Regions from separate parts of the Mus musculus genome. Here region 1 is reported to be linked to region 2. The links are microRNA targets in miRTarBase. Many come from high-throughput screens and were not tested one by one. Region 2 holds a microRNA gene; the other region holds the end of a gene's coding sequence.

The links. Region 2 holds the annotated microRNA mmu-miR-694 (CUGAAAAUGUUGCCUGAAG, at 2,085-2,103, shown strand). A microRNA usually pairs through its seed, bases 2 to 8, with sites in the 3' UTR of a target mRNA and lowers its output. Matches are read on the target gene's strand: a 7mer-m8 pairs with bases 2 to 8, a 7mer-A1 pairs with bases 2 to 7 and ends in A, and an 8mer does both.
Region 1: the mRNA of Wdr70 is a reported target of mmu-miR-694. Seed matches in the 3' UTR shown: 7mer-A1 at 485-491.

The regions. Positions count from the first base shown.
Region 1 is chr15:7,868,285-7,873,592 of GRCm38, reverse strand. It overlaps Wdr70 (WD repeat domain 70), which reads left to right. Exons shown (of 18, transcript NM_001081402.1): 18 at 340-538. The coding sequence ends at 427. Among named protein-coding and RNA genes, the nearest start is that of Gdnf, 55 kb to the right of the region's middle.
Region 2 is chr18:66,216,071-66,221,378 of GRCm38, reverse strand. It overlaps Mir694 (microRNA 694), which reads left to right and starts at 2,046; the gene lies at 2,046-2,115. All of the region lies in intron 2 of Ccbe1 (collagen and calcium binding EGF domains 1), which reads left to right.

The DNA of each region.
Region 1 (5,308 bases), not on the chromosome of region 2:
CAGGTAAGTGCCATGTAGGGTCTTGTGTGGTGACCATATGGCGTATCCTTCCAAATGGTCACACTTGGGCTCAGTGTGGCAGAGATGCACGAGGGTCCACTGGGGAAAGACAAACATAAAGTGTCTGCCACTGAGGGAAAACCTTCAAAAAATATTTGGCTCTTTTCCTGAACATAATTAAATTTTCACTATGCTTTTCTTTTGCCAGAAGTTTAATGATTTATATTTAATAATTGAAATGCAATCAGTGCCCCAGACTTGCTCCTGCTTGATCAAAGAGACAATATCTAATACAAGAACCAACTCACGTTTTCCTCTTCTTTTTAACTTTTGTTTTAGAACTCAGCCAAAAACCATGTTTGCCCAAGTGGAGTCTGATGATGAAGAGTCAAAGAATGAACCAGAATGGAAAAAACGTAAAATTTGAAGAATCTCGTTGAAGAGCTATTTGCATGGAGCAACAGGATAGGATACAGTGTTTTTTTTTTCAACCCCCTCCCCAATGCTTATGAAATAAAAATACATTTTTACAAACAGATTTTGTCCTTTCTGTTATGGAGTTGCTCAAAGATTTATAAGTCTTGATGCTGCTTTTTCTTACATTTCTTAGCTACGATCATTAGATTGTGCTCCATGTAAAAAAGAACAGACTCGGCCTATTACTAAGTATTTTAGGTATTTTGAGTCTTTGATAACAATTACTGATCTTGTACAGATTCCCATTGATGGGAACGTGTACAAATGTGCTGTATGTCTATCTTGAACTAATCTAGGAACATAATATGGAAATAGGGAATCAAAAGGCTTAATATTTCCATCCAGTGTCACAGAGCTGTTTACATGACTGTTAATAATTAGATGAGATCAAACCGGCCCATGGCTGTGCTAGGAAAGAGCATGCATCTGATTATGCCTCACTGTAGCCTGCGATGCTTAGAGCAGAAGAGTGTGCTTTGAAGTCAGACCACTGCGGGGGGATGGGGAGGGGGGGAGGGGGATGGGGGGAGCTTTGCCTTGGGGGTCTCTCTTCTGGCCTCATGATGGTAATACTTACCCCGTGGGTTTGTCAGGAGGGTTAAAGGAAATGCTGGTATAGAGGCTTGGCACAGCACCTATAGTATAGTAAATCTATACTAAATATTTGCTATTTTCAGATATGATTAGCAATATCACTTTGTCTTATATTTTTGTCAGTAGTCAATTAGAAAGGCATGGGAGTGCTTTGAAAGTACAAGGGCTGTAGAAATTAAAAAAAAATCAAGAATCATTCTAAAAGTTGTATTTGTGAGTAAAAAATGAAAACAAATGTTGGTAGTTTGTCCAAAGTAATAATGAGTCAATAGAATAAACTTTTGTGGGCTACTTTCCCATACACATGGGTCATTTTTGCATGTTAAGTAAGCCCCACTAGGCAATTGAGTTTTAATTCTTGTCTTTTACCTTCCTGTTTTTATATTGCTCTAGTGAATTAAATAATTATAAAATTCATTATAAGCCAAAAGCATGCCCCAAAATCCTGGTTTCTCTGCACTTCATCCCACTCCTCTTAAAAAAAAAAAATCTATTTTAGCAAATTTGTACCTGGCTCTTTTATTACTAAAGTTTCCAAGGATGGTGGTGGCCATAGACCAGAGTAGATGTTTTATCAAAAGATAAAACTTTAGAGACTTCATTCTTGTCCTTTTACCTTCACTTACGACCCATCTTCTTCTCCTTGGGACTTAAGCCTATAACGACATGACAAAGGTGATAAGAGAAAGAACTAGTGTTGGCTAAATATGGGATACAAGGTAAGTACTACCATGCCTTCCTGCATTAAACAGCTGGATTCCCACAAAAACCTCATGATGGTACAACTACTATATCAGCTTTGATGAGTTACAAGGGATTCCAGTCAGTCTATACAAGGTCATAGCCATGGAGGGCTTTGTGAAGACTTGGGGTCTCTCTCTAGAGTAATTAACAAATGCCTCCAATTTCCTGTTCCCATTGAGATGCACTGTATCTGAATTCAATATCAGACCAATACTTTGTTCCACATGCTTAGAATTTATAAACTTACTGCATCAAGGATGAAATTTATCAAAGGTTACCACATAATGTCATCACCACCACCACCCCATGGCCAACGTAAACATCACACCGTATTCAGCATGTACATCCAGAGATTGCTGAGGTGGTCCTGAGTGCGAATAAACACTTGATCATAGTGGTCATGGCAACATCTACTCTGACTGCAGGACAGAGAAAGACAAACGTGAGCAGGAATTTCTGACTACTATTCACATGTGGGTGGGCCTTTCCGTGTTTGAGATTCTGTGTCCCTTTGGAGCTGAGTAGAGAATTATTTCTTCCATTAGAAGGGTGGCACACATATAAGGATTTCAGCTTTGAATTTCTTGAGAAAGGACCTTAGAACCAGGACTGAACAAAGAGAGAGTGTTCATTTGACCTGAGGTTCTGTCAGGACATCACTGACCAACTATACAAGCCTCAGAACTCATTGCCTGCTACCATAAAACCTTATGCCCCCTACTGTGATTAACTGTTTGCTCGAAGGAGGAACTTGGAAGCCCTTGTCATTATGCTAACTCCCATTTCCTAACTCATTAACTATGCACCATTTCTGCACATGCTCTGTAAGTCTCTTACATTTGCCCTTCTCTTAACTACAATTTAGACCCTCTTTCAGCCATCAGCATTGCTCCAGAGTCTCCTTCCCAACTAATTTCTGTTTTCAATCTGGCCCTTCTCAAGTCTATCCATGATTAACTTCAGAGTTAAACCAAAAATCTGGCTAAATTAAATCGATTCAAACCCTAAATCTGTCATCTTATTCCTTTGCCAGAAACCTTTCGGAGTCAGCAGTTCTCATCCATTTGTGTGGCATAGACAACTGAGATTCTTGTGCCTTCCTTGTATAGACTTCTACCAATCTCACATATTCCTGAGGTCCAGCCTCATTCTGTACAGAAGGTATGCTAACCTCCAACTCCCGAATCCTTGCCCTTGTTACCCTCTCCCTTCCCTGTCTGCTTGGAGAATTTCTTACTGATTTTAGAGGTGGGAGTCCATATCATTTTCCCTGAGCATGGTTCACTCGAGCAGTCTCTTCCTCTGCTCTCATGATTGCGCACGTACCTTCCTACTGTCACCTCCGTTTATACACACGTGCATGGGTTTGTGAAGTTTTGTGTGTGTGTGTGTGTGTGTGTGTGTGTGTGTGTGTGTGTGTGTGTATAACTCCAGGAGATCTAATGCTTCCTTCTGCCCCCCATGAATACCAGGAACACAAATGGCATATAGACATCCATGCATACGAAACTCTCATACATATCAAATAAAATGGGAAAAATGGAGGAAAATAGGCCATACTGATAGATTTAACTACTCATTTTCTACTCACAAATACATGACTACAATTTGTTGATATTTGTACTGGCTCTGTACCAATTTGACCAGTTAAACATGACCCAGGTGAGGCCCTGGCCTTAAGAAGTTTGCACATTCTTTCTCTTGGGACCTCTTTTCTAACAATGAGGTAGCCATGATGTGAGAAAAGGTAAGGACTCTAAACGGGGCAGGAAGTAAAGGCTTGCTGACAACCAAGCTCCCCATCTGACAGAACGCCTTTTCTCTTTAGGAAGGATCGTGTTATATATCCAAGTCTGGCCAAACCCTCATGATCCTGGTGCCTCGGCCTCCCCTGGCACTGGGATTATAGATGTGAGCTACCACATTTGGGCTTCTATTCTATTTTATAAAACAGATCATTTGGTCCCGGTTGAGTCATACCAGCTGTGATCACATGGAGCAGAGAGGATCAGCCCATATAGACTCCTCCTGACCAAGATGTAAATTAATGCGCAAGATAACTGATTGGCCTTGCTTGGAGCTGCTGAGTTGTGAAGCTGTGATACAGAAATACACAACTAGAATAGCTTTACTCAACCGGTAGACCACAAGGAGCACTAATATTCTGATGATGCAACTGAATGGTTTTCTTGAATGGAGTTTAGAGAGTTAAGGTTTTCTGCTTCTTAAAGCTTAATTACAATAACGTACTTATTATTGGAATAAAATACTTATCTTCTACTTGTTAAACATGTAGAATTTGCAGTACTACAAACTTTATATAGTTTATATATATATGTGTGTGTGTGTGTGTATATATATATATATATATATATATATATATATATATATATATGTATGTATACAGTATGTAAATAGTATATATAGCTTTTTGTCCATTATGTATATATGTATCATCTTTACTCTCCTGTTCTATAAATATAGATTATTTTTAAACTGGCTATTAAAGATAATGCTGACTACAATGGCTCCATGTCTTAAGCATTTTATTCATGCTAGAATTGTTTTGTTAGAAGCTGATACCAAAAAAATGGAGTTATGGAAGCTCAGGAAGATTGTCTCATCTTTGTGAAACACAATCATTGCAATCTTAGTGCTTTGCCAATGGATGCCCAACTATCAAGGAAGATGGTTCTGGGCAGGTCAGCTAGCATAGTGCATTGGATAGTATCCTTCTGGAGTCCATATCCACCCAGAACCTTAGAATATGACTTTATTTGGAAGACTCTTTGCGGATATTAAATTAAGATGAGATCATACTAGATTAAGGAAGGCCTGCAATCCAATGGCTAGTGTCCATATAAAAACAGCCAGAGCCACATACACAGAGAAAAAGACTGGAAAAAACAAAGGAAATTATAGTGATGTAGCTACTAGTCAAGGATTGGCAACCACAAGTTAGTTAGGAAGAGGCATAGAAGCAAGGAAGGATTCCTCCCTGGAGTTGTAAGAACCAGCACTCCCCTCCCCACACCTAGATTTCTGATTTCTGGCCTCCGGGGCTATGAGAGAATAAACTTTGAGGGAATTTCTGTTGTTTTAAGCCGTTCCATCTGTGGTAATATTTTCAGCAAGTCCTAGAAAACAAGTACACTTAGCAACGAGCCATGAGGAAAAGCTTGGATCCAGATGAGGCCACACAAGGTTTGTGTCTCACCACTTTACGAAAGACGCAGAAGAGAGTGAATGAATAAAAAATAAAAACAAAAACACATACAAGAGACACTTAGCATCCAACATCAAGATTCAGAAATTTTCTCTCCAATCTCCTTTAGTGTGGGCTTGGATAATGATTTTCTTAATGCACTAAATCTTGATGAAATTTTGCTATATAGCAACAAACAATACATTTTCAAGTTTGCATGATTGTTCTTACATTTTGAATACATAGCCCCAGCCTGGTACTTCTTGCTCAGTCTTCTGAGGTGATGCA
Region 2 (5,308 bases):
TCTGTAGGGTAAAAAAATAAATAAGAAAAAAGCCTCCCATCTGGCATTATGAGAGTTGGAAACTCCAAAGCTGTACGTTTGAGTTCGTTTACTGTTAAGCGTCCGCTATCCATGAGAGAAGCTCGTTTCCCAAGAGCCTCCCTGAGAGAAAACCTAAATTCTCATTTACGAGTGGTTATCATTCGGAGGTATTTTCAGGGTTAGGGATGGTCATGGGTCTACTTCTCTTTTCAGCTTTAGTACCCCATCCGATGTGGATATGGAAGGACTGTGCGCCCTGTCTCAGTCTCTGAGTTGGTCCTGATGCACTTAAAAGACCGTGATTTACTGGTGTCCTCCATCCCTCCTGGTCTTCTATTCTTTCTGCCTCCTCATCCACAGGGTTCCCTGAACCCCGAGGGGAGGGATTTGATGGGGACAATCCAATTAGGAGGGAACATTCTAATCTCTCTCACTCCCTGCATACTGTCTGGCTGCGGGTCTCTCTTTGTTCCCATCTACAGCAGGAAGAAACATCTCTGTTGACAACTGAGCAAGACACTGATCTATGAATATAGCAGAATGCTGTTAGGACATTTTGTTGCTATGTTCCTATAGTGAACAGTAGTATTTTGTTTACCCCTAGGTCCCTGGGCTATCTAGTCTCCGGTTCTTGGGCACTTGAGCAGTGTCATGTATGGGTTCTATCACCTGGAATGAGCCTGGAGTCAAGTCAGATATTGTTAACATACTCCTGTAATCTTTGTGCCAGCGTTTCCCTACTGTATTTTGCAGGAAGGACATCATTGTGGGTCAAAGGGTCTGTAGTTGGGTTGGCATTCACACTTCTTTAGTAGTATGCAAAGTACCTGCTGGTACCAAGAATGGGAGGTCTTTCCATCTTCTGATACCGTAGTCAGTTTCCTACTTCAGGGTCTTAAAGTTTTTATCATCCAAGTCTTTCACTTACTTGGTTAGAATTACCCTCAAGATATTTTATATTTTTTGAGGCTATTGGGAAGGATGCTGTTCCTGATTTCTTTCTCAATCTGTTTGTCATTTGTGTATAGGAAAACAACTAACTTTGTGAGTTAATTTTGTATCTTGCTACTTTGCTAAGAGTGTTTATTAGCTATAGGAGTTTCCTGGTGGAAGTTTTAGTGTCACTGATAATGTAATATTCTATCATCTACAAATAAATATGTACTATATATTTAATTAGAATATATATTCATTTATATACTATTATATCATCTACAAATAAATATATACTATATATTTAATTATAATATATATTCATTTATATACTATTATATCATCTATAAATAATTATATACTATATATTTGGTTAGAATATATATTTATTTACTTATATACTATTAATATTAACTTCTTCTATTCTAATTTTTATCCCCCTAATCTCATCTTCAGTAGTTTTCTTGCTGTGGCTCAGACTTACAAGTACTATATTGAATATGTATGGGGAGAGTGAACGACGCTGTTTTCTTTCTGATTTTAGTAGAATTGCTTTGAGTTTCTCTCTGTTTAAGTTGGTGTTGTCTATGGGCTTGCTGCAAACTGCTTTTCTTATGTTCAGGTATATCCTGTGTCTCCCTGACCTCTCCAGGACGTTTACCATGAAGGCAAAACAACATAAAATTCACACGTAGTATAAGACATTTGACTCTAGTATTGAATTAGGTACAATTAGATCACCCCTTAGCGCTTCTGGATTTTTAAACTAGTTTTAAAAGATAAAATAGATTCTCGATTCATACTCTCGAATCTTTGTTTCAAAGAAGAGGCATAACTTACCAGTTAGTTTCCAGCATGTCTGATAATTCTACATAGTATGTGAGCTGCATGGTGAGCCTTGTATTCTGCTCGCCTGAGCTCACATCAGTTCAGAGGAGTCTGCAGGTGATGAGCACAAGTCTGACCCCAGGAATCTCCAAGTTAGGGTAATTGGTGTGAAAAGTGTTTCTGTGCATTCAGATGGAGAAACCTGAAAATTACAGCTGTTGTAAGGTAAGAGCTCCCGGCGGCAAAGCTGCCAACTGGGAGTCAAAGGCCAGCTCAGGCATCGCTTTCAACCCAAGACCAGGCTGAAAATGTTGCCTGAAGCAGTCTCTGCCTTCTGCTTTCATCACAAATACCCGACCCCCACTGCACCCCCTGCCCTGTGACCTGCTCCTGGCCAGACAAAGGCCAGCGGTAGCTCCCCAGTTGGAAATTGCATTCTCTCTCCATTTCAGTGCAATTGTGGGGCTCACATTTCCTGTCCTGGTTCTCTGAAGATGGCCTTTGGGTTAAGAAGGGAGTTTGAAGATAATGGCTTAGTCATGGGCTGGGCTTGTGGTCTCGGAAAGGTACCATGCTCAAAGCTGGTCTGCTGAGCAAAGAAACCCAGGCTAGACTGTGTGAGCATTTCCAATTTCCACTTGTCATCAAAGGAGCTAACCAATGCTCTACATTCTGCTGGAATGGGGGCGATATGCTTCATGCACCTAAGCCAACTTGGAATAGTTCTACCCCTCCCCCACCCCACCACCCCACCACCCCACCCCCAGTTCATGTGAGCCGTGATCCTGTCATGATTTGTACTGGCTTTAGTCAACCTTGTCATGTTGGAGTGGTGCAACAGTCCCCTACTTAAGCAGCTTAGTCTAATCTTTGGGAGGATTTTTTTTTTAAAGAATGATTTATTTATTTTTATTTTATGTATATTAGTATTTTGTGTGGTATGTGTGAGAATGTCAGATCCCCTGGAATCAGAGTTGTGATCTGCCATGTGGAAGCTGGGCATTGAATACTTGCCCTCTGGAAGAGCAGCCAGTGCTCTTAACCACTGAGCAATCTCTTCAGCCCCGGAAAGTTTCTGTTTTGTTTTTGCTTTTTTTTTTTTTTTTTTTTAATTGACAGCTGATACTTGGGCCCCAGCCCTAAAGAGTCAGATGAAATTGGTCTGGAGTAAAACATGAGAAACTCAATTTGTACTATCAAGGTTGGGGACCAGGGACTTCACAGCACCCTGTGAGACACACGTGATTATCAGTAGAATCCTTCCCACTTCACAGCTGAGAAAGCCAAAGCCTGGGGTGATCAGCAGACTTGCTCAGCATGGACATGATCAGTTAGTGGCATAGCTTGCCTGTGCAGATTCATTCTGGTGAGTGTTTATCACAGAGTGGGCATTATGGGAAATTCTTTGAATATTATATTAGGGGTCAATTTCTGGGGACTGTAACACATGCTTAGTCCTGGAAACGATCCCCCTCCTTAGAGAATCTCTTCTCTGTACCCAGATTTCTGGGGCTGTACGGAGTAAGTGGGCTTTGGAGCCAGGACTGAAGGGGTGGCCTTGGCCTTGAGCCCTGGACTTTTACCAGAGACGTGTCTAGCTGGGATGGCACTGCCTCCCTCCAGCCTGGAGACCTGCTTCCTTCCTGGGGAGGCGCATTCTCTGAGAAGAAAGGAAAGAGGCAGATTCTGAGTGTCCTGCTCTTCCTAGCTGCTCTTGAAGTTGATCCAACTTTCTGCATAGTTTAGATATCACGACTTAACATGACCTGTCTTACCTCAGTTTGTATCAGCCCTTTTTGGGGAGGGTCTCGTAAATCACGTGCCCTCTATTTTGCAAATCCTCCTCTGGCTCCCCCTTTTCATTTTCTCTTTGTGTTTTGACAACTTTTCTCTTAAAACAAATGTCTCCCCAAGTTGTCATCTCTTGGTCTCTTTCTCGGTTTTTTTTTTTTTCACCCAGGACTAAATGTTCTCACTTGTAACATCGCAGCAGCCTGGCTTGTTGGATCAAGCTGTCCACCCTCGGCACCTCTCTAGGGAGCCTTTACTCTCTCCCACTGGTCTTTAGCACATTGATTTAGGGGAGTGGTGGGAGGTGGGGAGAACTCTGGAACAAGCACCAGATGGGTGGAGGCCTGCGCGTGCTTCATAGGATCTGTGACTTGTTGGCAAAGCTGCCTTGCTTTGGCTTCTAGGGTGCTCGTAGATATTTCTCTGGCTACCTGCATGGTGATGGAGTGTGTACAAGATTTCTTTTGCAACTTACGTTGAGTGGAAGTCTCCTTGCTAAGTATCCCCTTTTATCCCTATACGTTTGCTTGCTATTTATCTTACAGTTACCTTTCCTCTTCTGCAAATATCAAACCCCCTACTTTGTACAGAGTTTCTGCTGTGAAGGAACACAAAACAGCTCCTTCAAGGATCTAGAGTTCTGACATTGATGGGGGTCTTTGGGAGGCAGGCATTTTATTTAACACCTGATTTCTACCATGAAAACTTGATATATTTAATGGAATTAAAGGAGACATTGAAAAAGTATCTTCTAAGTGTTGTACAGAGAAAGAAGAAAATAGTTTCTGGCCCGCTGCTCACTACTAATCTAGGAGACGTGAACTTGCAGTAGGGTGTAATGGCGGTGCATATGGGAAATGAAGAGGTTATCTTTTGTTCTGAGAGCTGCTCAGGAGAGGTTGGACACAGCAGAAGGCACTGGAAATGATCTTGGTATGATGAGTGGAATGTGAATGGACAGAGAAAGGAACTGAAGGTGGTATCCCAAGCAGGAATAAGCTCTGTGCTAGGAAACAAAACAGACTGTTGGATTCTGGCTTGGAATGAACTAGAAGTAAAGTCTTGAGAAGGGGGTCACTGAAACATGCTTTGCAGGCCATCGGGAGCTGTCATTTAAGTCATAGTGACTGATGCCATCTGAGATGTGGGTTTGCTTGTAAAAATAGTGGGCACACTGGAGGGACTGGCCAGGATGCCCAGCCACAGAGTCCAATCAAGCCATAAGCTTGGACTCCCAAGGATACAGTAGGAGGACGAGGGAAAGGTGTGAGAACTGGACAGAGGTATGGCATGCACATAACTGAATATATGAAGAGACAAAGGAAGGAGTGGACATCTCCGGGACATCTGCCTTAAACATCTAGATGCACCTTTCACTGAAAACTAGAATGTACTATGTAGAATGTTAAGAAGGTGCCAGGGAGTTCAGTAAGCTGAGACTTGGACATGTTCTTCTTCATGTCCTAATGCTAATTTTTATTTTATGTGTGAAGGTGTTTTGCATGCATGTGGGCATGTATGCATGTCTGTGTCTCGTGTGTGTGTGTGTGTGTGTGTGTGTGTGTGTGTGAGTGTGTGTGTGAGTGTGTGTATGTGTGTGTGTGTGTGTGTGTGTGTGTGTGTGAGTGTGTATGTGTGTGTGTGTGTGTGTGTGTGTGTGTGTGTGAGTATGTGTGTGTGTGTATGTGTGTGAGTGTGTGTATGTGTGTGTGTGTGTGTGTATGTGTGTGTGTGA